4 linked regions of the Notamacropus eugenii genome follow. The protein of the gene in region 2 interacts with the protein of the main gene of each other region in a pairwise test. Links are inferred from orthologs where the notes say so. Each region holds a gene or a part of one and is shown on either strand. Other genes may lie near its edges.

Evidence for each region.
Region 1: the proteins of PRKN (region 2) and RGS2 interact in binary tests that used the Homo sapiens proteins (3 or more experiments, as listed by UniProt). The link is inferred for Notamacropus eugenii from reciprocal best matches to the Homo sapiens genes PRKN and RGS2.
Region 3: the proteins of PRKN (region 2) and RAD1 interact in binary tests that used the Homo sapiens proteins (3 or more experiments, as listed by UniProt). The link is inferred for Notamacropus eugenii from reciprocal best matches to the Homo sapiens genes PRKN and RAD1.
Region 4: the proteins of PRKN (region 2) and GPR37 interact in a two-hybrid assay, tested with the Homo sapiens proteins (2 studies listed by BioGRID). The link is inferred for Notamacropus eugenii from reciprocal best matches to the Homo sapiens genes PRKN and GPR37.

The regions. Positions count from the first base shown.
Region 1 is NC_092873.1:449,848,755-449,855,605, reverse strand, and holds the start of RGS2 (regulator of G-protein signaling 2), read left to right. Parts: upstream 1-3,846; 5' UTR 3,847-4,070; coding exon 4,071-4,180; intron 4,181-5,268; coding exon 5,269-5,370; intron 5,371-5,485; coding exon 5,486-5,547; intron 5,548-6,218; coding exon 6,219-6,385; intron 6,386-6,849; coding exon 6,850-6,851. UniProt on the Homo sapiens protein: Regulates G protein-coupled receptor signaling cascades. Inhibits signal transduction by increasing the GTPase activity of G protein alpha subunits, thereby driving them into their inactive GDP-bound form.
Region 2 is NC_092873.1:256,731,392-256,739,332, reverse strand, and holds the start of PRKN (E3 ubiquitin-protein ligase parkin), read left to right. Parts: upstream 1-4,941; 5' UTR 4,942-5,078; coding exon 5,079-5,085; intron 5,086-7,941. Other genes in the region: PACRG (parkin coregulated gene protein), read right to left, coding at 4,256-4,411. UniProt on the Homo sapiens protein: Functions within a multiprotein E3 ubiquitin ligase complex, catalyzing the covalent attachment of ubiquitin moieties onto substrate proteins. Substrates include SYT11 and VDAC1.
Region 3 is NC_092875.1:426,526,536-426,533,723, reverse strand, and holds the start of RAD1 (cell cycle checkpoint protein RAD1), read right to left. Parts: upstream 3,023-7,188; 5' UTR 2,555-3,022; intron 1,166-2,554; 5' UTR 1,088-1,165; coding exon 893-1,087; intron 1-892. Other genes in the region: BRIX1 (ribosome biogenesis protein BRX1 homolog), read left to right, coding at 3,052-3,381. UniProt on the Homo sapiens protein: Component of the 9-1-1 cell-cycle checkpoint response complex that plays a major role in DNA repair. The 9-1-1 complex is recruited to DNA lesion upon damage by the RAD17-replication factor C (RFC) clamp loader complex.
Region 4 is NC_092874.1:126,116,403-126,124,033, forward strand, and holds the start of GPR37 (prosaposin receptor GPR37), read left to right. Parts: upstream 1-4,608; 5' UTR 4,609-5,594; coding exon 5,595-6,566; intron 6,567-7,631.

The sequences.
Region 1 (6,851 bases), about 190 Mb from region 2:
AGAACATGAGGACTATTTCTGAGCACGTCTGATGAGTGGGAAGTAGTGTGGAATTCACAAGTTCCTTTTATAAGAAGCAATTAATATCAGCTACCACAATACATGGTAAGAGAAGTGAAAGTTTTTGAGCTTCCTGAAATAGTATAAATTCTGGGCTAGAATTTTTTTTTCTATTTATTTCTTCTATATATGGTCAAAGGCTAACATTTTAGCCTTTTATCATTGAGGTATTAGTTAAATAATACTTCAACAGATCTGAGATTCAATAGTATCCTTAACAGGTTTAAATCTTATAAAAATTTAAAAATAAATCCAGGAGCTGGATCTCTCTGTATTTGGTCAAAAATCTTACCAGTAGGGGGCATGGTCATTTCAACAAGAACATAGTCAAGTTCTCAGGCTGCTAGACTTGAGCGAAGTTTATTGCTTTTTGTGTTTATTACCAACACAGGATGGAAAATATGTGCCATTTTCAAATTAAGTAATCCACTTTGACTAAAGTCTATTTGCAAGAAGAAATAAAGAAGCATATAATCAAATGAAGCACTTTTCTATTTAAGGGCAGTAATAAAATCTTTATTTTATTAAATACCATTCCTGCAAAAATACATTTTAATGTAGATTCTCTGTACAATATAGTAACTATATTAACTATCAAAATTAAATACTCACAATACTCTTACCATCTTTCCTAAATATTGTAATAGTCATAGACAATTTTAATTATGTTATAATTAGTACACATAATTCCTAGAAAAATTCATTTATAAAATTCTTTGAATATTTTAATACCTGTAATTATGCATATCCTATTTCCTAATCTTATTTGAACTACTGGTTTTCCATGAATCCCAGTTCAACTATACCTTCTAAGATTCCAAATTATGCATACATAAAAGCTGGAATGGGGGAAGGAGCATATGGAAAGAGGGAAGAGATAGAGATACAAAAACCATTTTACAGTATTAGAAAAAGAAAGCATGCATGCTTCTTACTTCCTTAATTTTTCCCCAAGAGACTGAGGGAAAATATAAATTAAATACCTGTGGGTCATCTAACGTTTCAGAATCAAGTGCCTTTCCAGGATTACACAACAGCCTTATTCTTCTGTTATTAAAATAGGTGAAGCTTCTGCCCCTGTGGTCCGTGGCCATGTATTTTTTCCATCCTTAGAGCTCCAGCTACTGGCAGATGAACATAAGAATAATTATAGTTCACTCATAACTGCACTTTAGTCTAAAGAAAGGTGAGATTTGCAACCATGCCAATACTTTGCTGTAACTTTTACAATCAGATTAGATTCTTGATAGGAAACGATTTGGAATTACATAGGAAACAAAGACTTGTGGTTCATTGGCAAAATTATCCATTTGCCTTGCAAAGATAATGTAGCTGATACAATAGATCCAGTCCCAGCTGTCATATCTATTGTGTTCTTTTCACACTGTGTGCAAGTGGAGGTGGGGTAGAGAGGGGAGGAGATGGAGAAATAAAAGGCACCTGAATATTCCGCTGCACGATAAAGATGTTCTCTGCAGTCACAGAGTTGAACTGTATAGTACAGAGGATAGAACACATCTGATGAGTAGGCAGTAATTTAATTTTCCTCAACTGAACACTGACTTTACACAATCATTTCATAAAATCAATTAATATTAACTATCACGATACATGATAGACAAGTGAAAGCTTTTGAGCTGCCTCAGCATAAATAGGATTATGCTCAATTCTGGAGGTGTTGCAGAGAAATGCAAATTATAGTACCGTGGAGGTCTTTTCTTCTTTATGGTCAGCACTCCGTGTCAAAAACTTGAGAAAGGTTAAATACATAATATTCAAATATATTGAAACATAAAATACTTGTACATCCTAATTCTGCCAAATGTCAAATGTACAGGAAAATTTTACTCTGCACGCCTATGCTTCTAAAAATAACATGGTTCAGAATGAACCCCGGTCTCTCTATACGGATTCTGGAATTGAGCCAGGTTAATAAGCATATATAATGGAATGAACCCTAAACTTGACCTGGGTTTGAGACCTGTATCTTTTACTTATTTGTTAAGTGGCCTTGGATAAGTCACTTTGCCCCAAGAACCTCAGTTATCACATCTGCAAAAGGGAGGCAGAACTGCATGGCCTCTACAATGACTTCCAGCTTAAACATTCTGTTCCACCAAAACACATGAACAAACACTTCCAACACACCTAAGAGCCAAAATCCCTACATCTTTCTACAGGATAAAATATTGGAGAGGAGAGGGGAGAGGTAGAGAGCCATGAGCAGGCGATGGATGAAAATAAATCAGTCGTTGTTGTTCAATAATCTGTCATTGTGTCCAATTCTTCGCGAACCCATGTGGAGTTTTCTTGGCAAAGATACTGGAGTGGTTTGCCATTTCCTTCTCGATCATTTTAGAGATAAGGAAACTGAAGTAAGCAGGGTTAAGTGACTCGCCCAGGGTCACACAGCTAGTAACTGAGACTGGATCTGAAGACTCAGGTCTTCCTGACTCCAGGCCCGGTGCTCTATCCATTTCACCACCTTGCTTAACTGATAGTAGGTGCTTAGCATTAAGTGGAAGTACTTAGCACTAAGGGGCAAAAGAGTTAAAAATCTAACATGGTGGAATAAAGAGATGTGGTCAGAGAGACATCCATCCTTAGGGTCTGTGATTCAACCCAACCAGCCTCTGACTACCTGTCTAACCTTGAGCAAATCACAACCTCTGGACCTCATTTTCAACATCTTTAAAACAGTGGGTTGATCTCTAGATGACCTCTGAGATTCCTTTCAGCTCTAGATCTATGAAATCTAGATTTCAATTATTGTATTCTGATAAACTAACACCTTCCTTCTACTTTTTTGTTTGAACAATTCCTGTTTCCAAACATTGTCTTAGGTGTGTTGGTCAAACCTGAGATTCTTACAATGGCTGTGTCAAAAGTAAGCACTTCCCCTTCCCGATTAGATCAGATTTTCCCCTAAATAGAACAAGGTGGACACAATCCTATTTGGGAGCCCTGCAGAGAAGGTCCAGGTGGGAGGTCATTCAGCATAACTGCATTCACCAGGCTGCCCTGACACGAACGTTTTAAGGACATCTTGAAGGGCTTCCCAGGTCAGTTCCTTAAACAGACGTAGAGGAACTGACCTGGGGCAGGAAAGCGTCCAGCTGAGACCTGAGTTAGATGAATGTATCTCAGAATCAATCTGGCCGAAGTCAGCCACAGCAGGGTTCCGAACACCCTTTGAAAAAGGTGAGACAGTTTTCAATGAAAGGCATAATACTTGGTGAGGCGAGTTTGGTTCTAAGTACTGACTGCTTTAAACTAATCAGTCTCGGAAAGTAATTTACTAGGCTCTGAGCCAATCAATTAAACAAGGATTGACTTTTTTTTAAAAAAAGTCTCTGACAGTTCACAAATTAAAGCAATTTTCTCAGTTAAAAAGCTTCACTTTTCAATTAAAATATACAATGGAGTGAGATGTACCAGGGCGGAGATGCTGAAGCCCAGATTTCAAACACGATTCTTATGAGGTGTCTTTTGGCTCATGGGGTGAGGAGGTGGGAAGAAGAGGGGGAGCACACCGAGTCGTGCCCATCTCTCTCCTTTCTCCCTGAATCAAGAACCGCTCTTTCCATCCAAGGTGGCTCCAGGTTCGTCTGGTGAGCCCCGCAGCACGCACGAAAAAGGTTAACAGCCTGAGCCATACAGTGAGAGATCTTTGTTTATTCCCTTCCCCCCCCCCCCCCCCCCCCACCTCACCCCGCAAAAAAAAACCCTTTCAGAGTTTCCAGCTCCGTTTTGGCATCACTGCGCATGAACTCACAGGGAGCACTCACGTCAGCACTGTCCTCAGCTCCAGCCCCAGTGAAGGGTGGCGGGGACTCCCGAGGCGGTCGCTGACATATCTTTTGTTCCCAGCAAATCCTCTCTGCGGCGGGGCGGAGTCGAACGCCATCGCCCTCGCCTTCCCCAGCCTCCGAGTCTTATAAAGCCCGGCGGCTCCAGGAGGAGCCTTCAGAGGCGACTGCCGTCTTCAGCCCAGTTCTCGGATCTGTATCATGCAAAGTGCTATGTTCCTGGCTTTCCAACCCAACTGCGGCTCCATGGAGAAAAGTGCCAGCAGCTACCCAAAGGGCGAAGAGAAGAGAGAAAAGATGAAGCGCACGATGTAAGCATCTCTCCCACCTACTCCCATTTCTTCTCCTTTTATGGGATTTCTTCAGAAACACTAGGCATCAGGAAGCTTTTCCCCCGGTTAGAAAAGCATAGTAAGAGGTTACTTTATAACAGGCTGTATCTCAGTCTTTAAAGGAGACTAAAGTAAGGTTGTAGCGGTTTTTATTTATCACAGTTAGGGGGAGGGAGGGTCTTGTTCTCTTATTTAAGCCAAGAAGAATAAATTGGGATGCATTTAATCCCCGGACATTCCTCGATTTTTAAAAGAAGAAATCATACTCCCTCCACTCCCTCATTAAAGAAAAATAAAAGTAGCCTGAAAATCCTGTCTTCCCGAGTTCCAGCCTTTTTCTCCGTATTCTAACTCTCCAGGTCGGTAGCTCTGCCCGACTTCTATCTTGCTCCTTGGACAGGGATGCCTTTATTGATACAGCAGGTGCTGGGCTTACGAATTTACTTCCCAAGTGAGAAGAGTTATTAAACTAGGAGACCTACTTCTTTGGCTTCTCTCTTCTTAGAAAGTATTAAAGCTCTTTTGTTTGAAAGGAGAAACTTAGAATTGCTTTTGAGAACTGTTGCACAAACTTTCCACGTAGGGCTTTATCCAAAGCCTTCAATTTTTGGAGGGGGGGGGGGGGGAGTAAGGAGGAAACTAATTAGACTGCTCTGACTCATTTCAGTGTCATTGAAGTAGATTTCACCAGATGACTGAAAATGGCCCAGAGTTGTCATAGTGTTGCAGAAACTAAAATTTCACACTGGCCAAAAGGAAAACCTGTTTCATTCACCACTTTTAGGATGACTTAAAGTTTCTCAATCATTAAAGCAACCTCACCTTGGCTACTTAATGAACCAGTAAAACCAAAAGCCATGTTCAGATCATTCAAGATAAGCTTAAACATTATTAGTGCAGAAAGGTTCATTTCACTGCAGTGCTTAGGTTTTTATTTTGGTAAGGTCTTATTTGTCTTTCTGTCGTTTAAGATTCTGTTTCTGGTATGAATAGAAGTACTTGGTAAAATGTGGGCAGCTATAATGATAAAGCATCATCACTCACTGAATATGATTGTTTCCTTTTAGCATAAAAGACTGGAAGACACGTTTAAGCTACTTCCTTCAAAACTCATCCACACCTGAGAAGCCAAAAGCCAACAAGAAAGGCAAACAGCAAGCTTTTATTAGGTAAGTTAGAGATCCCAAACTTAACAGTGGACTTTTGTCTAATGTGCATTTTGCCTTTTCTTTGAAGTAGGAGAAATTCAAATTTTTTTTTAAATGTATGCACTCATTTTTGCAGACCTTCTCCTGAAGAAGCACAGCTGTGGTCAGAAACTTTTGATGAGCTTCTTGCCAGTAAATGTAAGTGGAAATATTAAACTCAATCTGAAGTGATTTTAATCTCGGTAGCTGAATCCATGGATTATAAACTAGATTGATGTATTTTTAGAAGTTGGACATTGCAATTGTTTTCCAGGGTCAAGTCCTGTAACATAAGTAAGGTTTGGATTAGTTGTTTTTTTCTTTTCCCCTCATTATGAGGAAGTTCTGCCCTAAATTCAAACAAATGTCCTTTTTTTTTTTTAATAACCAGTGGAATTGTGTGTATTGTTATACCTCCAGTAAAATATCCTCAGGTGGGAAGAGAGTGAGAGAGTGAGACTCAGCCTGATTACAAATGCATTTGTTCACAGTTAAGGTTGAGTCAACTTTTCCTTTGCAAACAATGTTTTCAAAGGGCTTAGTTCAATAGGATTTATGGTTCCACCAGAGCTATTTCTTTTTCCTTGATAGCGTAGTTTTTATATATTTGAAGGTGCTCTGGAATGGCAATGTGCCAACCTTAAGAAATTTACCTGCTGGCATTTAAACTCTGAAACCTAGAGCTTTGCAAGTTTGAGTAAATTCTGGCAAGTTACTGCAACATAGAAAATCCTGTATTGAAGTCTTAGGTTTGTTGAAAAGATAAATAACAGAAAGTAATGTAAGACATTTTTATTTTAATAAATTCTTCACATTTCCCTCCTCTCTAGATGGTCTTGCTGCATTTAGGGCTTTTTTAAAGTCTGAGTTTTGTGAAGAAAACATAGAATTCTGGCTGGCTTGTGAAGACTTCAAGAAAACCAAGTCTCCCCAGAAGTTGAACTCAAAGGCTCGGAAAATTTATACTGACTTCATAGAAAAGGAGGCTCCAAAAGAGGTAATAATCCTTCATTTTGGCACAATTTTGAATACTTTAAGTTCTTAGCAGAATTCCAGTGAAAAGAAGGGCAAATATTCTTTTGTTTTAATAGGACAAAAGTTTTTATCCCACCATAACTTTCCATATTTTCCCCCAATATTAACTTTAGAGTATTAGGGCATGGTCCTTAATATTTTTTCATGACAAATATTAGCTGTTATCATTATAGCATTTTGAAATATGTTAACTGCTTTCCATACAACAGCTTCCTTGAACTGGTCCATTCAAATGTTATCTCCAGTTTTTACAAATAATGAAACTGACTCTGAGAAGTTGTGACTGACCCACAGTTACAAAGCTAGAAGTATGAAGCTGCACTATTCTAGATTCATGCCCAGTATTTTATGACATCTGAAATTTAGTTATTCAACATTAATATGATGTGCTGAAACTTAACAAACCATTGTCCATTTCTATTTCAGAT
Region 2 (7,941 bases):
AAAAAGGGATACAAAAATGTCCTTAGCAGATCTTATGTAAATAAGGAACTGAAAACAAAATATTATATGAACATAATGGAATATATACCATACGGTATTACAAATATAAAGAATTCAGAAAAAATCAAGAGTTGTAGAAAGCGAGCGAATTAGAGACAAGAAACACACAAACACGTATATACACACATAACTTCAACAATGTTGTCAACAAGGTAATATTGAGAAGCACTAAAATTTCATGCTATGCAAGTTAAAGAATATTTACCCTCTTTTTGTTAACAGATAGGTAAACACAATTTTCAGGGAATTTATCATAAAGATGGTTTGTTATTACTACTTGTAAAATATCTCTATCATTAAAATAAAATGTGTCACTTTTTTCAAAATCATCCGTGTATAATTCAAATCAGAAAAAGTGACAAAAGTGAGAATATGCTTCAATCTAAACAATTCAAACAAGTTCTCAGTACCAAAAGAATGAAAAAAAAATTTCTTCCAAAAGTAAAGATACCATTCCTTAAAAAATGTGAGTGAATCAAAATAGTTCTCATAATAAGGAGGTCAAAAGGAACCAGAAATCTTGCTCAATCAACATGTGTAATCTTCTTGTCAACTGGAGGAGTAGAGTAACACATATTTAGGGTGCAAGCTCATTTACAAAACATTATGGAGGAGGAGGACAGAACTAGTATAAATAATCTCATTAAATTCTAAAAAGCAAATGAGGAGAAAATTAATCTGTGGAGAGCTTTTCCTAAGACCCACCTAAACTAGATGATCTTGACAACTGCGTTTCATACCAGACAATAGCAAATAGTTGCAAATGAAATAAATCTTCTTGAATTTTTATGGCTTTATTTTCACTGATAATGATAGTGGAACCACAAAGTTTGGACTTTTACCTCAGTATTCACTGATATTCCATACAAGAAATAATATTGGCATTGATAAATATGAAGGTGGAATTAGTGATTGAACCTAACTGAAAATATATAATGAAAACACCACAATTTTTAAATTCCCTCAAGCATCAGATTGGGAGATTTGCCAAAAAGGAGCTTTTTTTTTTTCTAGCAGAAACATGTGATAGAACAGACATCAACAACCACTGACCCATACACTTGCCTTTGAATCTCTATAAAATCTTTCTGAGACTAGTTTATATAAACATGGAGAATAATTTTGATAAAAACAGATTCGATATCATCAGAATTTTGATTTTCTACCTATATGCCTATATATTTACGGTTATACAATAGTCAAAGAAGAAACATTTTTGCAGAGTTCAATCAAGGTCATGAGAACAGGTTAGTAACTATATGAGGGCAAGTAAATTTAAAAAGTCAAATGAGAGTAAGACTTTTTCTTATTTTTTTCCCTGCTTCAACTAATTACAATTCTCAAAGATCTCCCAACAGAGGTATGTGAGTGGAGTTAACAAATAATGCCCTGTATTCCCACCAATCACTATCTTAAGATCCCAGGGAAATGAAGAAATTAGGGAAGGATCACAGACATGTCAAGAGTTAAGCTATTTCCTGTATGTAAAAGAGAAGCTGGGAAGTTATTTTTCTTTCTCCTTGCTCTCCCTGAATGTTGATCTGACACCATGTTCATTCAGCTAGAAAGGAAATGGAGACTTACTATAAGACAAGAATTGGATATTATGCATATCTCCTTGCAGTATCATGCAGTATCTGCCTGAAACTAACTCCTATTCCAGATATCTATACCTATGCCAAAGTATTGTGTAGAGGCTTAGGTGGAAAGAAGAAAAAATATGAAATCATCCATTTTATTTACATGTCATTTTTCCTCCCATCTCTACTTTCAGGCAAATATTACAAAATAATGGAATAAAGGCATATCATCTTACTCAAAGTACAATAAAGAGTTTCTTGGAAGTCATTTGCTATTCAGGAACAACTAAAAAGTTCCATGAAAGCTAAGAAATTACAAGAATAATATGGATTTACTATTCACATAATTTATATTTATGGTATATTTATATGTATGGTATATTGGTACATAGAATGCTTGACTATATACATATAGATTTTGAATGTAAAAAGATAAATTATATGGTTTTATTTTACAAAAACTTTACATTATCTTATTATTATTGAATATGATTACATATAAAGTATTTCTCCTTATACAGTCCATCTGTTTGATTCTGTGATTATGATCAGATTTATATCTATATGACCAAAACATTCTAAAAGGAGCATCAGGAGTTCCCATGGTAACTCTTTAGGATAAATTGCCATATGTTTTTAATATGGAGCGTTGTAATTGTGACTTATTTAAAGACTGAAAAATCGGACACAAGAACTGGGGGTGAGTTGAAGAAGAGAAGTTGCCCAGAGTTTTAGATTATTATGTCACTGAAAACTGATACAAGCTGTATCCCATTCATTGACTGAAGATAAACCTTAGAAAAGACACTCTTTGGAGTTAATAACTTCATAATCATGGGAAGGTCTATATTGCTGAAAAAAGAAATGGTCAGGTGTAAGTGCCAGAGAAATGAAGAAAGTCCTGTTGGTCCAATCACACTTAGTAGGGTGCAGGCTGCTACTACAAGTTGCTCACACATATTATTTACCTCCCTTTTATTTACCTATCTTTTCTATTACTTTCAAATAAACTTTCTGTATTTTGTTATTCACAGAAAATGTTACTTTCCACCAAAAGGAATAACAAGAAATGACCCATGTTTTCAGAATCACTTTGGAGATATATTAAAGCAATAAATAAAGGAAGATGCTTACGCCTCACAAGAAAAGGTATTTATAAGAAATCTTCCTCAAAGGAATTGTTATTTGAAGATGGAGTTACATTTGTGAAAAATAAAAGTACTGAAATATGTGACTTTACTAGGCCATACACTCTTTAGGAGAGGTTATGCTAAATAACAAAAGGTCTAAGTATGTTGGAAGATACAGATTTGTATTATGAATTATGACTTTGTAATGAGCATGAACTAATGTCATTAAAGAGAAAACAGAAAATGTTTTATACAGTCTTATAAAATTCCAGTAAACTAGTAAAATAGGTTATGAACAAGGAATTATGAATATTAGATAAAAGAAAAATAAATCATCTTCCTAAGTGGAATAAATTTGGTACTGTATGTTGGTGATACGTGAGAATCTTTTGACTTTAAGTATAACTTCTACTTTATAATGAAAAGAATGAGGTTTTTGTAAACAGAAATGTATTGTTTTCCCAAACCTCAAGAAACACAGACATAGACACACACACACACACACACATTCTAAATGAGACACTATGTATAACATCATAATAGTCTTGTCCAAAAGGTAGTCATTTCATAAACTTACTGTATGAGTAACACATAGATACAAATAAGTATATGGGTTTAATGTAACATTAGAGAAAAGATAAATTCCAGTATAACTACTCAGATTCTACCAGTGTAAGTTATACAACTTTGAAAGCTGTTTTAGTTACTTGAAGTTCTATTCCCAATTATGTGGTAAATTTAGTTTGTTATACTTAATTCAAAATCATTTATCAAAGAGAGGCATAATTTATTAATTAAGCTTATGTAAAGAAGTCATCCATACACTTTGTTTTACTGTATACTCCGACTATTTTCCCTCTTTTTTGCTCTTAAGATTATTTTATTTCTAAAGAGCACAAACATAGTATTAAAAATACTATCAAAATAATATTTTGATTATACCAATAGGCAGACATAAATTTGATTAAAATCTAATTGAAAGGTCAGTTTTTGGGCATCTTTGGAGGGGGCCAGGCTTTTAAAGTTTGTATTAGGAAGAACAGTTGAAATATTTTGTACTTCAGTAATACATCCATATTTAATGGGGGTTTGGACAGCTTAAAATTTTCTGCTTTTAATATTATTTTGTCTGATAGTTGAGTGAATTTATGTCGGCTTGACAGTTTTACAAGAGATTCATGTAAAACTCGGAATTCATGAAGTGAAAGGTCTTGAATCTGGGGTGGGGGCAGGGGAAGGAAATCCTCCTCAGACCAGCAGCAGCTGGAGCAGGGTGGGAGGCCTGAAGACTATCAGGTGAGATCTTGGGAAGGTGCTTATCAATCAAAACGTTATTTTTTTTATTATTATTCAATCACCGCAGGATGACGGGCACCGCGTTTCACTTGCCCCAACCCTTTCCGGATAGCGACCGTGCACCTGTATCTCCGTGTACCCTGCCTGATTCGGAGAGAGCGCATGGAATCGAGGAGATTTATCACTTACGACTGAATTTTTCATCATGGCTTTGACAGTGAAGCCGTCAGAAACCAGGGTGTGCGGCTGGTGCACGGGGAGTGGCTGTGGAGGCTGGAGTTTGGTCCTCTTCATCATCTTCTCTGGACTTTTATTTAGATTCAGGGTCTCTTTTTCTGCCACCATCTTCCTAGGAAATGTCTTGTTCCCACATCCAGGGCTTTAAGAATGACTGGGCGGTGGAGGGGAGGGAGGGAAAGACACAGCCGGAGTGGGGTTATGGAGAGTAAAAACGGCACTGTAATGGTAATGAATTCAACCCTCCAGGTCCTGCCCGGGTTTGCTTCTAGTTCCAGCTGTTTGGCAGCTCCAAGGTGAAGAGGGAGTTTGGGGAAGGGGAGGGGCAGAAAGGGGGGCAGGACCGTATTCTGCAGCTGCAACAGGCTTCCAAAGGTCCTCAGCGAGGTTGCTAGGCAACGTATCAACATCGCAGCGGAAGTCTCCCAATGACGTAGCCATTCCAGGCCAAGAGCCGGCAAAAGGGCGGGGGCGGGGCGGATTAGAAAATGAGCGGCAGGTTCCGCACTACATCTCCCAGAAGCCCTCAGGGACGTGTGCGTATACATGCGCGTGCGCATTACCTCCTCTTCACCCCCCCCCCCGCCCCCGCATCTTCAGGGGGCGGGGTAGGGAAGGGTCGGGGAGGGGGCGGGGACAAAGGGAGCGGGGAGCTGAAGGCTTTAAAGCTGTGAACGCTGGTTGTAGGAGGCGAGCGCGGGCCCTCGGGGCAGGCCGCTGCGCGCATGTTAAGCCTCCTTCGTCTGTCCTTAGAGCCACCACCTGCCCAGTGACCATGATAGGTACGTGGGTGTTCTCCAGGTACAGCTGCTTTCCGCCGCCTCTTCCCTCCCCCACCATGTGCTGGTTCTTGACGCAGGTGTGAGACCCTGCTGGTCACTGTCAAGGACGGTCTGGGTCACCTAGCGAGGTGAGGGGTGCTCTGAGTGTCCCAGAGCCCTGCCCCTCCCAGTAGAGGCCAGAACAGGCGATTCTGGCCTTTGGCTCCCCTGGTTTTGCCCCCAACTGAAGGCTGAAGTGCCCCCTTCCCCCGACCCCCAGCCGATACGCAGGTGCTGAGCCCACCTTTCCTTTCCCCCGCGGGTTGTATGAGACCACTGCTCCCTTCCCCTGAAAAGGAGGCCAGCCAAAGAACGTCACCCTGAAAGTGCCCGCTGGAAATTGACCCCGACCCCCGCAAACCCTGCCGACCTTCAGAAGCTGTGGAGGTTTTCGAAGGTCAAAGGCGCCCCTGGTTTTCTCATGCTCATGTTTCCTCCCCATCACCACCTGTCCTCCCCCACCTTCCTTGCCCTAATCTGTCTGCAAGCAACCTTTGACCATCCCAGGGAGACCCCCAAGAAGCAGGACACGAAAGTGATAGGCTTGCAGTGACGTCAGCCTTGCGGAGAAAGGTTGTTCCCACGTGGTCTTTAAACTTCTCGAAGTCTTTGACTAGCTTTTCTTAATGCCCTATTTGAGGGGGTGTTTTGAAGTCTAGGACAAATTGAGATCGGTGATAGATGGAAAACAGCTTTTAATTTTTTTTTAAGTTAGAGGTATTCTTAGTATTGTTAGGCAAAATAGTGAGCAAGTTTGTGTTTGTTTGGTTTTTTTACCCCTATAAATTTGCCCCTAAAAATTAATGGAAAAAAATATGCTTAGGACCATCTTTACGGGACTATCAATGACTTCTCACAACCAGTGTTTGGGGTTTTATGGAATTGGTTTCTGCATTATTGTTGGCACATTGAGAATTACTGATACAGTATCTTTAATTGTTGCAAGTGAATATTCGGAGCCAGTTCCATCCATAAATGTTCAGAAAACATATTACTGTGTTTATGTGTGGTGCTTGTTTATTTTTAGAGAAGCTGTCCCTTCTTAAACATTTTAATTTTATTATAAAATTAATGATACAATGTAAAAGAATATTCTTCCTGTCACTGAAGAAATAAATACCTGAGTATCATATTCCTTTGGGACTATGTAGAAATAAGCTATGTTGAGTTTTGGAATCATAGTCCTTTCCTTACCCCTTCTATCTTGGTACTGCTTTCCAGTCAATGATTCATGGAAATTAATGTTTGAAAAATATTATTAATAGCACACATTTATATATGACTCCTTAGAGTTTACAAAACACTTTCCCTACTACTACCCTGGGAGCTAGATAGTGTTGACATGAATGTTTCTGTTTTATGGAGAACCAGAAAGTTAAAGTAACTCCCATTGTCTTGAAGCTAGTGGTAAAACTGGGATTACAAACCAGTTCTCTTAATTCCAAGTCTAGCAGGTAATTGTCACAAACCAGATTAAGTTAATGTTTTATGCAGACTACTCAGGCAACATGTAAACCTTGACAAAGGTAAAAAACAAAGTCCAAAGAATAAATATTTACAATAAAATTCACATTGGGAATAGGTCAGGAGGGGGGAAAGAAATACCGGTGCGCTGATTAGGAAAGTTTGGAGTACTTGGTCTAATGTACTTTGGATATTTTCTGAATTATGAATTGCCATATTTTTTTGTGCCTTTTAATTAGCAACCTTTCCACTGTACTCCACTATTTTATGTTTCAGTGAATATGATGATGGACTCATGACCGGTAGAGCATATAACCTGGTAAATTTTAACAAGCCAAAAGGATTCTGAATATGGCCCAATGAAGGGCTTTTTATTTGTATTCTGGGGATCATCCTAAGTATATCAGAGAGTTGGCTATAGAGTGATCATATTTATTTGGCTATAGAGGCTAAGACTAAGTCATGGCTAAGTGGGAAAAAGTGTTGGATTTGAAGTCAGAGAACCTGAGTTGGAGTCATAGCTCTGCTTCTTACAGCTTGGGTAAGTCATTTAAGTCATCTGGGCCTCAGTTTTCTCTTATGTAAAATTAGAGAAGTTGAACTGGAGTATCTTTGAGGTGCCCTGTAGTTTTTCATCTGTTGTCCTATGCAGTCAAGATTAAAATATGACTCATAGAGGGGTTGCAATAAGTATCAATGGAAGAAGGACCACATCAACAAAATTTCAAGCCCCTGAAGTGTTGGAAAGTAAGGAAAATCAACAAGTTTGAAAATAGCCATGTGTGTATATTTTAAATAATTATATATTTATAAGTATACATATATAAATATCTAAAATTATTACAATTGGCTTCAGTCTAAGGAATTCATTTAACCCTAGATTATCAACTGAAAAGTGATTATGTAATTAAAAAAACCACAGTAGTTGGACAAAACACGTCCCATAGTGTTCTGGTGACTTAGGGAAACAAGAAATGAATACCATATATATATAGCTGATGCTTTGATTGCATGATGTTGTGACCCTCATGAATGATTGCTTGCAGATGCCTCAGAATAGTTCTTTAAAAGTTTCTTTTTTAACATAACAATGGCAAACAAATGATTAAACATGGGGAAAGAGGGAACATGTTGTTACAGAAAGTGCTAGGAGTCATGAGACCTGAGTTGAAATTTTAAACTCTACAGTTTCTAGTTATATAACTGTGGACAAACAATTTAATTTTTTCTGAATTAAAAGTCCTCTCTAAAATGGCCATGTTACTTGTACTATCTGTCACAGGGTTTTTGTGGGAAAAGCACTTTGCAGACTTACTGTGAATTACTTTAAATGCCATATGTAAAAAAGCCAAG
Region 3 (7,188 bases), on a different chromosome or scaffold from region 2:
GGCCTTTAGAAAATCAGTTTTTGATAAAGGAACCAAATCCACAGCTAGCTGAAAGTAGCCAAGAAAAATGACCTAGAGTTACCTGGAGAAGGTTTCCTTCACTGTGCTTGATTAATGAACCTCATGGATATAAGCAGACACAGCATAAAATTATCCCTCCATTTTCTAACATGGGTCCTATGTTAAAGCATGTTTGGGAGGGGGAATCACACTAAGGGGGCTTACATAATGAGCATGTAGAGAAGATGGTGACTTAATGGAGAATGGACCAATCCATCTCCTGGTGGGAGGATCTGTCTTGAACTAACAGTATATGGCTCATCTCACTTCTGTATTCAGCACTCTCTCCTCCTGAAAAGAAGGCGGGGTGCTTTGGTCAAAGTGTTCAATTCCTCTGAACTCTACTGTAATAAATTTTCCTTGATACCTTTTTAGTGTCAAGAGTGTTTCTAACACCTATCACAAGCAAAATTTCTATAAAACAAAGATACCTAAGCTTTATCTAAAAACCAGATATTTCAAAAAGTGTTACAATCAACAATACAGGATAGGGAAAGAACTTGGACAATCCTTTCAGCTAATTTTAAATTTCGATCTGTGAATATTATGTAGGATTCCTACAACACTGGTGCTAGAAGGGATCTAAGAAGTCATGTAGTCCAATACCCTCATTTTGTAGACCACAGATGAGAAGCTAGAAGGGACCCCGAAGGTCATCAGACCCAAACCTCTTATTTTGAAGATGAATAAACTAAAGCACAGAGAGATAAAAGGACTTGCTTGTGACTTCTGACTCCCAACTTCAGTGCTCTTTCCCTAGTACCAATTTAACAGATTACCCATTCACAACAGATGAAGAATGAATAGTGTAAGAGTATGCTTGCCCTCGTACCTGAATGAATGCATTTGCTTGCAGACACTTTGCATTTTCCACTGTAACCTTGATTCCATTTGTTGTTGCAAAACAGGTAGCATGGTCTTTAAAATGAATAGCTTTTAATATGTTTGAGAGATTCCTTACATTGTCAAGGCTGGCAACTAAAATATATTGATCGCTTCCATCTTCAGTCTGTGTGGTAAGTGGCATTTTCTATTCCACATAAGTTTCCTTCCACTGGGTTTTCCTAATTTAAACTGGAATTAATCAGCTGTCTGCCTTGGTAACCTATAACAAAAATAAAATCTAATTTGAGTTCAGTGACTCCAGAAAAGAATTGCTTCAGTTGTATCCCCCTCCAAAAATGTTTTTTTTTTTTTTGCCAACCAATTTTGTTTTCTTAGCAAAATGTATAAGCACAACTGTTTACCTCTCACTCCACCCCCTCCAACTGCAGGAGAAAAAAAAATGTGTAATGGAAACATTACTAAATTAGAAATCAAGAGGCCTGGACTAAAGTGTGAGTTGTGCTATTAAAGGACTTGTGAAGTTGGGAGTCACTTCTCTGAGGATGTTTCCTGAAAAATGCCCTAACTGACTCCCATAGGGCTGTTCTAAGAATAAAATAATATATTCACATTGTAAAACATTTTCACATGATTTCACAATCACAACTTGGATTTTTTTTTTGGGTGGGGGGGGGTGCCAGACCTGTGAATTCATTAGTTTGAAAAAGTCCTGGTGCAGAAACTCACTCTAGAGATGCAGACAGACAAGTAGTCTACAATTTATAATTGTAAAAAGCTGCTTGGAGCACTGAAAAGTGAAGTGACTTGCCCAGGTTACTTGGCAGATGTGTTTCTAAGGGAGGACTTGAATCCAGGTCTTTCAGATTTCCAAATTTAGTTCTCTATCCACTACTCCAAAGTATCTGATGATAGTATAAATTTTATACAAAACATTAAGTCAGGGGAAGTGACTTGTCCCAAACTACATCTCAGCTGAGTCAAAGCCAGGATCTAGGCAAGTTCTCCCCATTCCCCGTGAAAGGAACATGGGGTTTAGAGCTGGAGTGATTCCCAGAGATCGTTCAGAATAAACACCGTATTTTACAGATAAAGCGGAGGTTGCGCAGTGTAGCTAAAACAAGTCACTTAATCTTTGTCTGCTTCAGTTTCCTCATATAAAATGAGGGTCTCCTCATATAAAATATGTATCCTCGTATAAAACGAGAATAAAAATAAATGAGAAAACAAAAAAGAGAGTATAAATATAATAAAAATATAATATGAAAATAAATGAGAAAAAATAAAAATGAGGATATAAATGTAATGAAAATAAACATAATGTAAAAATAAATGAGAAAATAAAATAAAAATGAGTCCGAATACAATAAAAATATGATATAAAATAAAATGGGAATAAAAACACGTCCCAGGGTAGGGGGAGGACCAGAGGCGACGCTTCTAAACCGCTTCGCCCGTTACTACCGTTATTATCTTTGTAACAGGCCCAGAGAGGTTCGCCGGTTAAAAAGCTGGCACACCAAGGATCCGAACTCAGATCCAAGCTCTTCCCCAGTATTCACGTGGCGCTCCCAACGGAGCACAGCGCTAGGGCGGGTAAAAGGTTCTGTCTGTCTACACCGCCCCGACCCAGGGAGGAGACGGAACACACCGGGGGGGTCCTCCGGCTCCTCGCTTCTTCCTTTCCGGCGCGGCTCAGGGGTCCCCTCCTACGGAAGCTTTTCCGGATCCCTCCCGGTGCTGGGTGCTCCCTTCTCCTCCTCCCTTTCTCTCGTATCGACTCATCTAAGCGTTATTTCCACCTCCGGCTCCTCCGGGGCAATGGCTGTTTGTCTCCGCGGCCCCACTCCTAGCTCAGTGCCTCACTAGCCCAAATATCCGTGGGTAGGAATAAATTCCCAGTCCCGTACGATCCTCGCAGCGTTCCGAGAAGCCTCGGCTCCCCTCCGCCCCTCCAGTGCAGGCCGGCCTCAGGTGTACCGTTTTTCCCGCCCCCAAGGCCGGAAGGAAGCCCCACTTCCGGCTTCCGAGGCGGACGGGAAGTGTCGGAGTCTTGGCTTGGTTCTACTGCGCTTGCCCAGACCCCACGACTACACAGTGCGACAGCCGTAAAGGAAAACCGGGGTTGGGTTGAGCTACGGAGGAAGCATGTGCTTCCACCCCGCCCCCTTCCCCGCCCTCTGCCCCGCCCCCTGCCCTGCCCCCAAACGCTTTTGGTACCATAGAGACGGGAAAGAGGAGAGAGAGGCAAGGCGGCAAGGAGTGGAAGGCGAAATGAACAACGTGCGACCGCCGGAAGAAGGGGGTCTGGGCAAGATGGCGGCCGTCAAGAGGAAGCGGCATGGAGGAGGGGGTCCCGAGGCGAAGAGGCCTAAAGGAAAAGGAAAAAAGGCCGGAGCGCCGGCCAAACAGCCCCCTCCAGCCCCAAAAAAGGCAGAGGAAGAGGAGGAGTACCGCATCCCGGGCCCCGTTTCCAAGGTACGAGCGGCAGCTGAGGGTCTCGCGTGGGAGCGTGGGCCCCCGCGTGACCCCAACCCGGTGTTCTCCCCGCCAGGGTGCGGCGGCCTGGCGATACTCGGCGCGGTGCAGCCCTCGGCCCCCCTGTCCGCTGTCAGGCCGGGCTCGCGGCGGCCCGCGCACGTGGTTGTCGCTTGGGAGCGCAGGCCGAAGGGCCTGTCAAGTCAGCCTGCACTTATTAAGCGCCTACTGCATGCCAGGCGTTGTCCTAAGCATGTTTGTTTTAAACAGTCCCTGCGCAAGGAGTTCAGTCCACACGAGTTCAGACAACGTACGAACAGCTAGGTGCCACGGCCTACAAAAGAGCTGGATTGGGGAGGGGCGTGGGGGGGCACGAAGGTGTGTGGGCATCCCTGCCCCTTGTGTCCGGGCTGTTGTTAACCCCAGTTCTCCGCTGAAGAAGCGGGGGCACCCCGAGAGGAAGGGGCTTGCCCAGGGTGGCACAGCTAGCGTCCGAGGCAGGATTTGAACTTAGGTCTTCCCGCCTCTGACAGGGCTCTTCCCTGCCCTGACGGGTTGTAGGCAGAGGAACGTTGGGGTTTGTTTAAGGTGGTTCTGTTACTGGACCACGTCTTACTGGACCACCGCTGAGGTTCGAGCTTGACGGAGGTTCTGGAGAAATTCCAAAATAAGTCAGGATTTCTGCTGTGCGTCTTCCTTCGGGGCCTCCTGGGCCCTAGATGTTGTGCTCGGGCTTAGGGATTTTAAACATCCATCCAGAAATTCACGGTCACGGAGGACGAAAGGGCAGCTGACATCCGGGAGTCGTGAAAGGTCCGCTGTGGCCCGTGAGCTGGACCTCCAGGGGAGCCAGATGCGGCCAGGGTTTGTGGAAAGGGCAGAGCATGTGAGAGGGGGACGCTGCAGTGTGGACCATTGGGGGTGAATGGGTCTGGAGAGAGAGAGTGGAGCTAGTGTGCAGCTCACTTAAATGGTCAGATGTGCTGCGAGTGCAGAGGAAGAGGAGGGGGAGAGGCCTTTTAAATTGGCCTTGAAAGGGTGTTGGGATTTCTGTAGGGGAAGAAGAACAACTTCAGTTGGAGAAGGTGACTGACAGGAACAAATGTGTCAGAGTGGCACAAGTGCCATGTGTGTTTTTTGGGGAAAAATAGAGTTCAGATTGGAAAGAGTGAGGAGTTCATGGTGGAGAGTTGAATTAGGAAAGGGAGGATGCAGTTAGACTGTCAGGAGTTAAGGGGCTTGGTAAACGATGAAGCACCAGGGGAGTGATGTGGCCAAAGAAGAACTTTGGGAAAATTAATCTGGCCATGGTGTTTTGATATATTGAAGAGCTGGAGCTCTGGAGGCAGTGTGAACAGTTAGGAGATTATTGACCTCATCTGGGTGTTGACACTGAGAATAAAAAGGAAGATATGGAGATGAAGGAAAAAATGGGCAGTTTGGATGTGGGGGCTTACAGAGTAAGAGAATTTCCTAAGATTTAGTGCCAGAAATGTATGGTAACATACCCAAAAGAGTCTGAGGAGAAATTTGTTTGAGGGAATAGAAATGAGGTGCATTAGTTTGAGGTATAACAGGCAGAAATATAAGAAGTTGGAGAGACTGGAGATTTAGTTATCCATCTACAAGCATTTATTAAGTTTCTCCTATCTTTGAGGCACTATTTTAGGCATGGGGTACAAAGACAAAATAGTACTTGCCATCATGAAGCTTATATTCTATTTGAGAAGACTGTGTATACAAAATAGATATGGGGAGGAGAACTAGCAGCTGGAGAGATCAGGAAAGAATGTAGAAAGTGGCACTTGCTCCAAGTTTTGTAGGCAACAAGCTGTCAAGAGGCTGTTGGACTCGAAGACTTGTTCTAAGGTCTCTTCCAGTTTTAAATCTGTGATTTCAGGAGGACGTAAGAAGGTGTTTAGAACAGCCATTGCAAAGGTACTGAGTTGAGAAGTGGAGTGTTGGCCTCCATCAGCTTGGTTGTGTGATGCTGCATATCTCCAGTCTTCAGCATATGAACAGGAGTGGAAGCAAGTGGCAGATGATGAAAATAATCCATGGATAGGTTTGGTAAGCCATGAGGATTGATAGGGTCAGGGGTCAAGGAACAGTATAATGCTGAACTGGCCAACTATAAAGTGGAGATTGGGAAGGGGCAATAAAGTGGAGCCAAAGCAGAAAATCAGAGTTAGATAGCTTGAGAAAGTATCGAGGGTTGGGATCAGAAGGCACAGGGATGATAATTAGTAGGTTTAGCAGAGGTAAGGGAAAGATGAAATTAGAAGAGGTTAATCTGATAAAAGGGATTTTGGAGTTTTTGATTCTGAATGGTGGTAGTTGAAACTATATGCTTGGAAGAATATCTTTCAAGTCTTCTATCACCAGTTACCTGTGAAGATATCTCCAGGTGGATAACCTGTAGACAATTCAAATATAAAACAGAGCTCATCTTTCTCTGCAAATCTGCTCCTCTTACTAACTTACCTGTTTCTTTTTAGGGTCCTGCTTCTGGTCTTTCAGGTCTGCATCCTTTTTCTCCATTTTTTTCTCACCCCTCATGAAATTCATTTGGCAAGTCTTGCTGATTCTGTGTCTACAGTATTTATTGTAGCCATCCCCTTCTCCCCATACCTGGCTGCCATCCAGGTTCCGATGTTCCTTAACCTCTGTCTTGGCCTATTGCAGTAGTTCCCAAATTGATCGTCAAGTCTTTCCCACTTTCCGTCCATTCTCTACATTTATCCTGAAAGCATCTGACCTTGTTACTCTTCTGCTCAGAAAGCTCCAGTGGCTTTGTCTTACCACCTCTAGGATAAAATACAAACTCCTCTGTTTGGCTTTTAAAGCCCCTTACCATCTAGCTCCACATTTCAACCAAACTGGCATACGCTGTTTTTTCTTGTGTTTGAAGCTTTTCCCTACCTGGCTTTAGCCACGTTCTGCAGGCTTGTTATATACTTTATTCCGCTTTGTGTTCTCCGTGTTCCAGCTAGCCATATTCCACTTTCTGCCTTAGATCTTTCCCAGATCATCTCCCATATCTGTATGCTCTCCCATCTTGCCCTCAGAGCTCATCGCAAGTGCCTCTTGTCCTAGAAACACATCTAATCTGAGTTGATAGTGCTCCCCCCAGTAATTAATTAGTATCTCCTTTGTATACATATTTTATTCACTTTTCTGTGCACATATTTTATTTTTCAATACAGATTGTAAGTAAGCATTATGCAGCTCTTGGAGGGGAGGAGTTGTCTTATATTTATCTTATGTCCCTGTACCTAATGTTTTTTGAATGAATGAAAAGGGAAGAGGGCTTGGAATAAAACTGAGAAGGTCCATTTTTGATTAATGAAAAGCTAAAGAATAAGTGACAGAGACTTAACAGGAATGCAAAAATGATAGATTGCCTCAAATGCCAAGAAAAAAGTTGTAAAGAGGGTGAAGGTTGGCAACCGGCTGGAAAGTAATTGATAACCTATGATATGTATCCTGATCATTTATCCACTTTATTACAAATAGTTCTATTTTACCAGGTGTTACCATTTTTTCTTAAAAATTTCAAGCATTTGAAGCCTTTTGTGTGCAGAGAATTGTTAGTAGCTGAATGAGATAAAAAGTTTAAGATGGTGTCTCTACTCTCAGGAGAAGCCAATAGGCTTTGAGGAATCAATGACACATGCACTTACATGTTAAAGTTGCTTTTCTAATAAAAGTATTGAGTGGTTGAGTAGTTTTGAGGGAGAGGTGTAGTTATTGTCCATAGAAAGACCAGGAAGACTGGAAGGTAGTTGCTTTTGAGGTAAGTTTTTG
Region 4 (7,631 bases), on a different chromosome or scaffold from region 2:
ATGGTGATCTCAAAATGCTTCCCTATACCTTCATGAATTCACTTAAAGTACCTTTAGAATTCATCATGTACTGAGCACTTTCGTATTGTTTCATGTAATCCTCAGAAGACTTCCTACAAGTGAAAATAATAGTGTCATTATTTCACAGGCGAGCAAGGCTAGCTTCAGAGAAACAAACTATTTACCAACATCATGTGACTAGGAAGTGGCAAAGCCTGGAGTTTTACCCAGATCTTCTGACTAAAAGTTCAGTATTCTTTCCAATATACCTAGGCTCTTGAATGTTAAAAGGATATTGCAGGTAATTTGTGAACTAATCTTTTACACTAGTGTGATTGTATGACAATAACTGTATGTTTTCTTCTGACATAAATAGCAATTTACTTATGATATTTAATTGAAAAGAAACAGACCACTTCATTGATGTCTCTCCCAAAGCACTGCCAGTTTTCTCATTAACTCTAATGAGCTCTTTTGCTTTGTTTTTTCCCACTGTTGTCACAAGCCGAGCCATGACAAAGTTTTGCACTGGGGCAAATAGCACAAAACTTTCTTTGAACGGTTGGCATAAAATATGCACTTCATTCAGTTCTGTAGTTAGTGGGAGTGGATGTTGGTGGAGACTCTGTGACACCTGCAAGGCTACTGGGCTGGGGGAAGTTTGCTGCAGGTGGAGATGCAACAGAGAATCAGTCACCTAGGGAATATGTTCAGAGGTCAGAGGAAATAAGGCACTCCACCTTGCTAAATCATAAGCACAGTTGTTCCTGTGCTGCTGATATACTTCAAGCATTATTTATTCTCTAAATTTCAGGGGCCATAAGGCAAAATTCCAATTACCCTAACCTGGTTAAGGCTGTGGTCACAAGAACAAAAAGAAGGAAGGAAACAAGTATTTATTAAGAACCGATCATGTGCCAAGGATTTTATGAATATCATCTTATTTGATCTTCACAATATCCTTGGGAATTAAATGCTATTATTATCTATTTTATAACTGAGCGGAGACAGAAGTTAAATGACTTGCCCAAGGTCACACAGCTAGTAAATGTCCAAGGCTAAATTTGAGCTCAAATCTTCTCCATTTTAGACCCAAAACTTTATCCACTATGCCACCTATTTGCCTCAGAAAGATAGTTGCTGGGGATTTCTATCTTGTTAAATAGCAATCTGCGAAATAAAAATAATTAAGAACGATAAAAACAAAGACATAAAATGGAATACAAATAACTCCGATAAATTCTTTCTAGAAGCACAATTTTAAAATCCCAATTTTAAAAATTACATGTCATTGCTTGCATACTGTCATTTCTCTTGGATATATGAACTAGATATCTTTTTAAATTCAGGGAATGGAATTAAAACATTGCTTCGGGAATCCATGTATGAAGAAGAGTATATTGGGTGAGAAATCTGATTGCATTCACCCAAGCCAAATTAATATCTCAAACTTCAAAGTAATCACTTCTATTCCTTAATTTTATATTTCCTCTTCATCACAACAAATGCTGGATAAGGTGCAATAAACTAGACAGAAATACCAAGAGAGGCCATTATTTATATGTAGTTTTTTGTGTACAAAAATCAATATTATGTATTACAAGCTCAATGGAATGCTGACATAGCTAAGTCTATGTTCAAATCAGTCCTTATAATATAGACAAATGATGCTGGTACAAACTAGACAATGATTAGTCATCTCTTTTTCAGATCTATATTTTTACAGAGGGACTCAAAGTGAGTAGAGTGGCTATTGAGTCTCACCTTCTCTCATTTATGGGAGAATAGTGAATCTATTCAATGTATATTCTTTTCATTGGAAGAAGAATTCTCTCTCTTTTTTTTAAGTCTTCAGACTTAAATAAAATATTTGATGTTATGACTTTATTTGAAATAAGTTTACTAATTGGGCCAGACTTTATCTTTTACTTTTCATATATAATCTTCTTTGTGATGGTCACACTCTGGAAAGTGCTCATTTTTTTTTTTTTTGACAAGTCAGTGATTGGTTGGCAGACCAAGGCTCCAAGTGGTGAACTGGAGGATACACTTGCCAATAGCTATGGAGTTTTACATTTTCTATAGTTTTTTTCTTTTTAAAGTTGGGTAAATTCTCCCTCAAAGTGCATAGACCCATCAAATCTCTAAGACATACAGTTGTTTTGGGGGACTATTTTCTGTGTTAATAAAATCAAAGAGATAAAAGGGAGTACAAATGACTCAGATGAATTCTGTCTAGAAGCATTATTTTAAAATCCCAATAAAGAAATGATGAATCATTGTTTACAGATGCTATGGACTAAGAGGTTGGTATTCTTATAGGTCTGTAAGAATCAAGAGGCATTTTTTAACTACCTACTTTTTGCCAGGAGGGCAGCCAGGTGGTACAGTGGGTAGAACACCAGGCCTGGAGTCAGTAAAACCTAAGTTGAAATCTGACTGACTGTGTAACCCTGGAAAAGTCACATAACTCTATTTGCCTCAGTTTCCTCAACTGTAAAATGAGCTAGAGAATAAAATGACAAATCATCCCAGTATCTTTGCCAAGAATATCCCAGATAGGGTCACAAAGAGTCAGACAGTTCATGATATTTCTAGAATATTAGAATTTAGAGTTGGAAGGGACCTGAAACATCAACTAATCCAATTCCTTTATTATTACTATTTTTTACAGATGAATAAATTAAGGCCTAAACAGGTAAAAATGACTTGTTTAAGGCCCTGTAGGTGATAAATTACAGGGTATAGATTTGAATCCAGTGACTCTGACTTCAAATTCAGTGCCCCTTTCACTCTAAGTCTGCTTTTCTGTGTGATTTTTCAATGTAGTATGGAAAAGTGTCTCAGTTACCAGTTACCTTCTGGGGAATAATGCTCCGCTCAAAATAGATGTGTTTAGTGAGAATGGAGAATCTGAAAAACAGGGTTTTCCTCTAACCCCTCCCCACCCCCATCTTGGTTGCAGGCAAGAGAACAAACATTCTATAACTAGAAAGACTAAATTTGCACATAAGTGCAACAATCTTGAGAGAGAGAGAAAAGTCCTGTTTGCAGTTATTTTCACAGCTTTTATTCAGATTCTGTTACTTCTGAGCATCTCTACTTTTCTCATTCCTCCTTTATTTCCTCTCTCTACCCCCTTCCCAAAGACTAACCCATGGGATGGCTAGTCAGTGAGGCATGTGAGGGCATACTCAGCGTTGGAAAGAAATGGTCAAGGTGGGTAGAGAGGGAATTTGGCCAACTTCCCCTCCCCCATTTTCCTTCCCTTGGTATTGCTGGCTCATTTACTTCATTTGTTTCCTTCATCTAAAAATCTGTCATGTCTTATCTTTCTAATTACTGTGAAATTGAGGGTCCAATAACAAAGGTTTTCTAAGGTGAACTAATTACCGGGATTGTTCTTTATATTCCATACTTTGAGTATCAGCCCCAACACATTTTCTTTGTAACTTTGTGGTGGAATAAGATCTTCAAGCTGTTCTTTCAATTTAGTGTCAAAGCAGGCAATGGAAATGTCAGATTCCAGTTCTTACATTTTTAAGCATAGACTGGCATGGTCTCAGATAATACTGGGCTGTGTGAATTTAGGAATGTTAATGTATTATTATTATTGGCATCTGCTAGGGGAGGCACTGATCTGTTATTCAGGCCTGACCAGAGGGTTATAAATTCGGATAATTTCCTGAGTCCCTTTTGCTGCCGGTAAGGAAAACAGACAAGGGCTGTTCCTTGGAGAGACGAAGAAGGGGGGCGGGGGACGGAGGAAGGAGAGACTTTCCTGGCAAAGCTTGGGGAAAAAAAGCTTTGGAGCCTGAAGCTGCCTCTTCTTTTGGGTCAGGGCATCAGAAAACTGGAGCCTGTTTAGGCTTTAGCATAGTATCCCTTCTTCAAACAACAAGAAAGCTTAACTACCCACCCAATTTGCCCACACACTATGTGGGGACGGAGGCGGGGCTTAGTTTTTTCTCTTTTCCCACTCTCCACAAACAGATCCTACTCCAAACGTCCTTTGTGTGGATTTACGATCCCCTAGGACGGACTCTTGCTAATTTGGTAGCCAAGTAAGAGCGGATCTATGCTACTGAGACTTTTCCTATTGTCCTCCTCACTCCCAGTAACAGTAAATCCTTTTTCCTTCGTTTTTCCTTCAGCCCTTGGGAAAACCTGGGGAAGTGCGAGCCGCACCTTGCAACTCCCAGTGGCTCTGGCCTGGGCATGCTCAGTAGGCAAGATAGCTTTTGGTAGCTCGTCCGTGGGCACCTTCCCGGCCCGGTCCGGCCCCTCCCTGCTCCCTTGGCAATCAGACCGGTCTGACCCGTTCCAACAGCTGGAAGAACTAACCTAGCCCAACCTTAGCTCCGAAACCCAGCCCTGGGGGGGCTTGGCTTCTCCATCCTCCCCTCACCAGTCGTCACCGCATCCCCCACCCCTCTCTCCTCCCGAAAGTGGAAGCAACTACAAAGGGCTTGAATGTAGCGTATGAGGATTTAGTGAGCCCTAAACCACCAGGGGAACCCGTCTCCTCACAAACCAGCATCTCTCCGAGGAGGAGTCGGAAGAGACGAGCTTTGCGCTCCCACAGCCACGCGCAGCGGCGGCGGCGGCGGCGGCGGCGGCGGCGGCAGCAGCTGGAACCACAGCTCAGCCCTCCTCCTTCCCCCTGGCCATGCACCGCCCCGGTCGCAGCTGTTTCAATCCTAACGCTTTTCACCCCGAGTGCTCGGCCAGTCAGTCTCCACTTCATGCTCCTGAGGGTGCCAGTGTTGTCAGCTCTCCAGGAGCGCCGGTTGACCCGCGCGTCGTCCTTCTTTTCAGGGACTGGTCGCCGGACAGCCTGGACTGCTCCCCGGATAACTTGGAGCAGGAGAGGAAGCAACTTTGACTCTTGCCGCTGGGCTCTTCTAGCGTCCCCACTTCGCTTCTCCTTGACCGCAATAGCTGAGCTAGTCCCCAACGTCAGGCGGAGCCAGTTTTCTAGGGCGACTCGCTTTCCAGCACGGCTCGGCGCAACCTGTTTACTAGGAGAGAGGTTCTGGAAGAGGATTGTCTAAGGCGAGCAATCGTCTGGGGGAGGGGGACGTTCTTCCCTGTCTCTGGAGACCTTTGCTTGCAACGGGATAAAGCAACATCAAGAGGCTGTAAATAGACAGCCAGAGATCCAGAGCAACTGTTACCAAGAAGGCAGAATCACAGGAAAAAAGGGAGGAGCGTTGGGTTTCAGTGGGGGCTTTTTATCTCTCCCACTTGTAACATTAATGCTGTTAATAGTCAAAGGCGTTGATTGCAACTTTTCAAAGGTCAGTCCCTGTTCCGAAGAGGAAGGAGGTTCCCCACTCCCATCCACGCTTGTGGTGCTCAGCGCGTAGCTGGATTTAGTTAGGGGAATGAACAGAATGTCAAACGGAGTAGTGTAGGGGGTTCCAGCCTAACCCTCCTCGTGGTCCCAGAGGAAGGCACCCTCCGAGCGCCGAGGAGCTCATCCCCGCAGTGACATGTGTCTAACTCTCGGCGCCAAATTGGGCAGCAGGTGCCGGTCCTAAGGAGCCACTGTTGCCACTGCCAGCCCCCAAGGTGCCGAGTGAAGCGGAGCCATGCGGCCCCCAGGCGCGCCCCTCGTCTTCACCTTACTCCTCCCGTTCCTGCTGCAGCTTGAGGTTTCTCCCGCCGTAGCCTCTGGGAACCAAACCAGTTTAGGGAAGACAGCCTTGCCTGCTCTGACCCCGAAGCAGCGCGGTTGGGAAGTTTGGGGATCGGGAGACGTGTTGCAGAAAGTGTTGTCCAGCAGCCCCAGGGGAGCAGCTGTAGCCAAAGCACAAGAAGAGGAGGAGGAAAAAGAAAGAAATACATTAATAGCGCCTTTTGGGAAACTGACTGGGGCTCACAGGACTTCTCATGTGCCCCCAGAGAGGAGGCCTGGCATCTGGCTAGTTCCTCTCAGAGCAGCGGTGATTGAGCTGCCGGTTGCCCTTAGACTTTCCTTGGAGACGGATAAAGAGAAAGGTGGCAAGGATATTGATCTAGGAGGCAGCCAGGGGCAGAATGTCAAGACCCATTCCGGAGCCCCGGAACCTTTCTCCAGGTGGAGGAGAGCTGGGAAATCCCGCGGTGATCCCCTGACCAGTTCCCCCATCTTGGGGAGCGCAGCCAATGTGGATAAAAAAGCGCAGGAGACAGTGGCAACCGAGGGGAAGGTATTGCCTTTAAATGGATCCTCTGGAGAGGCACTCCAGGAGCGGAGCGTCCCCCGCGGGGGAAACGGCACGAACCGGCGCCCCAAGCTCAAGAACCCCTTCTATCCACTGACCCGAGAGTCCTACGGAGCTTACGCCGTCATGTGTCTGTCCGTGGTGATCTTCGGCACTGGCATCATCGGCAACCTGGCTGTGATGTGCATCGTGTGCCACAACTACTACATGCGGAGCATCTCCAACTCCCTCCTGGCCAACTTGGCCTTCTGGGATTTCCTCATCATCTTTTTCTGCCTGCCGCTGGTCATCTTCCATGAGCTCACCAAGAAATGGCTTCTAGAGGATTTCTCCTGCAAGATCGTGCCCTATCTCGAGGTAATAAAGCCTTGCAGTGGGTCACCACCACTGGTCTTGCTACCCCTTAAGTGGGTGTGTTGCCCCAAGGCATTACTCAGCACACCCTCTCCTCCCTGATCTACACTCCTTCTTCCCCCCTTTTCTGCTTCCCTTACGTCCTGTCTCACCCTTCCAGCTTCTACTAGAGGCTTTGCACACACTTTTAAACTTATCTGCCACCCTTGTGGGTGAAAAACTGCTGATAGAATGTCTAGACTAGTCTGGATAGTGCTTGTGTCTGCCCTTTTGAGCTGGTATACAGTATACCAATCTGCCTGCTTTGGCACCTGTGACATATTATACATCTGGATTGGCAGCTAATATACACCAGCTTGCCACTCCAGATAGGAATGGTTTGGACCATCAGAACCCAGCAGGACAAGGAAAGAAACTTTTGTCTCTACCCAATTCCCTCCCTTTCCTTCCCCCAAGCTTTCCACAGAGAAAATGTGGATGGATCTATTGTGTCCAGGTGTGACAATCCGAATCATCAAGCTCTGTTAACTAAACTTTCTTCTTTCCATTCCTTCTTAAGAACTGGGTTTGATTCAAAATGTTTTCCACAAAGGTATAACTGGCCTCCTGATAAATACCTAAATATATTTCACAGACTCTCATGTCATCCAAGGTGTCTGCCTTCCATGTTAAGGTGATGAAACTTTCTTTCATTTTCTTCCCTCTTCCCTCAATTTCACAACCTTTTCCTCTAAAGAAACTGAGCTTAGAAGGAGACTTTGGTTATCATGAGACAAGATTGTCTTTTAAGTGTATGTCAAACCCCACTACCTGTAACATTGTTCTTGGCACTGATTTTAAGGAATAATTTGATGAAAACAAACAAATAGAACCTTTGTAACTAAAGTTTCTTAAGAGGGAAGTGGAAACTTTGGCCATATAAACAGGAACACATCCACCGAAAAAAGCCCCTTGAAACTTTTCTTCCCTCTGCAGTTACTGCCTTGAGTGTGGTGGTTGGAATTTGCTTTAAAAATGGCCTCTCATTTAAACAACAGCCATTGGAAAGTACTCAAATGTTCCTCTGCC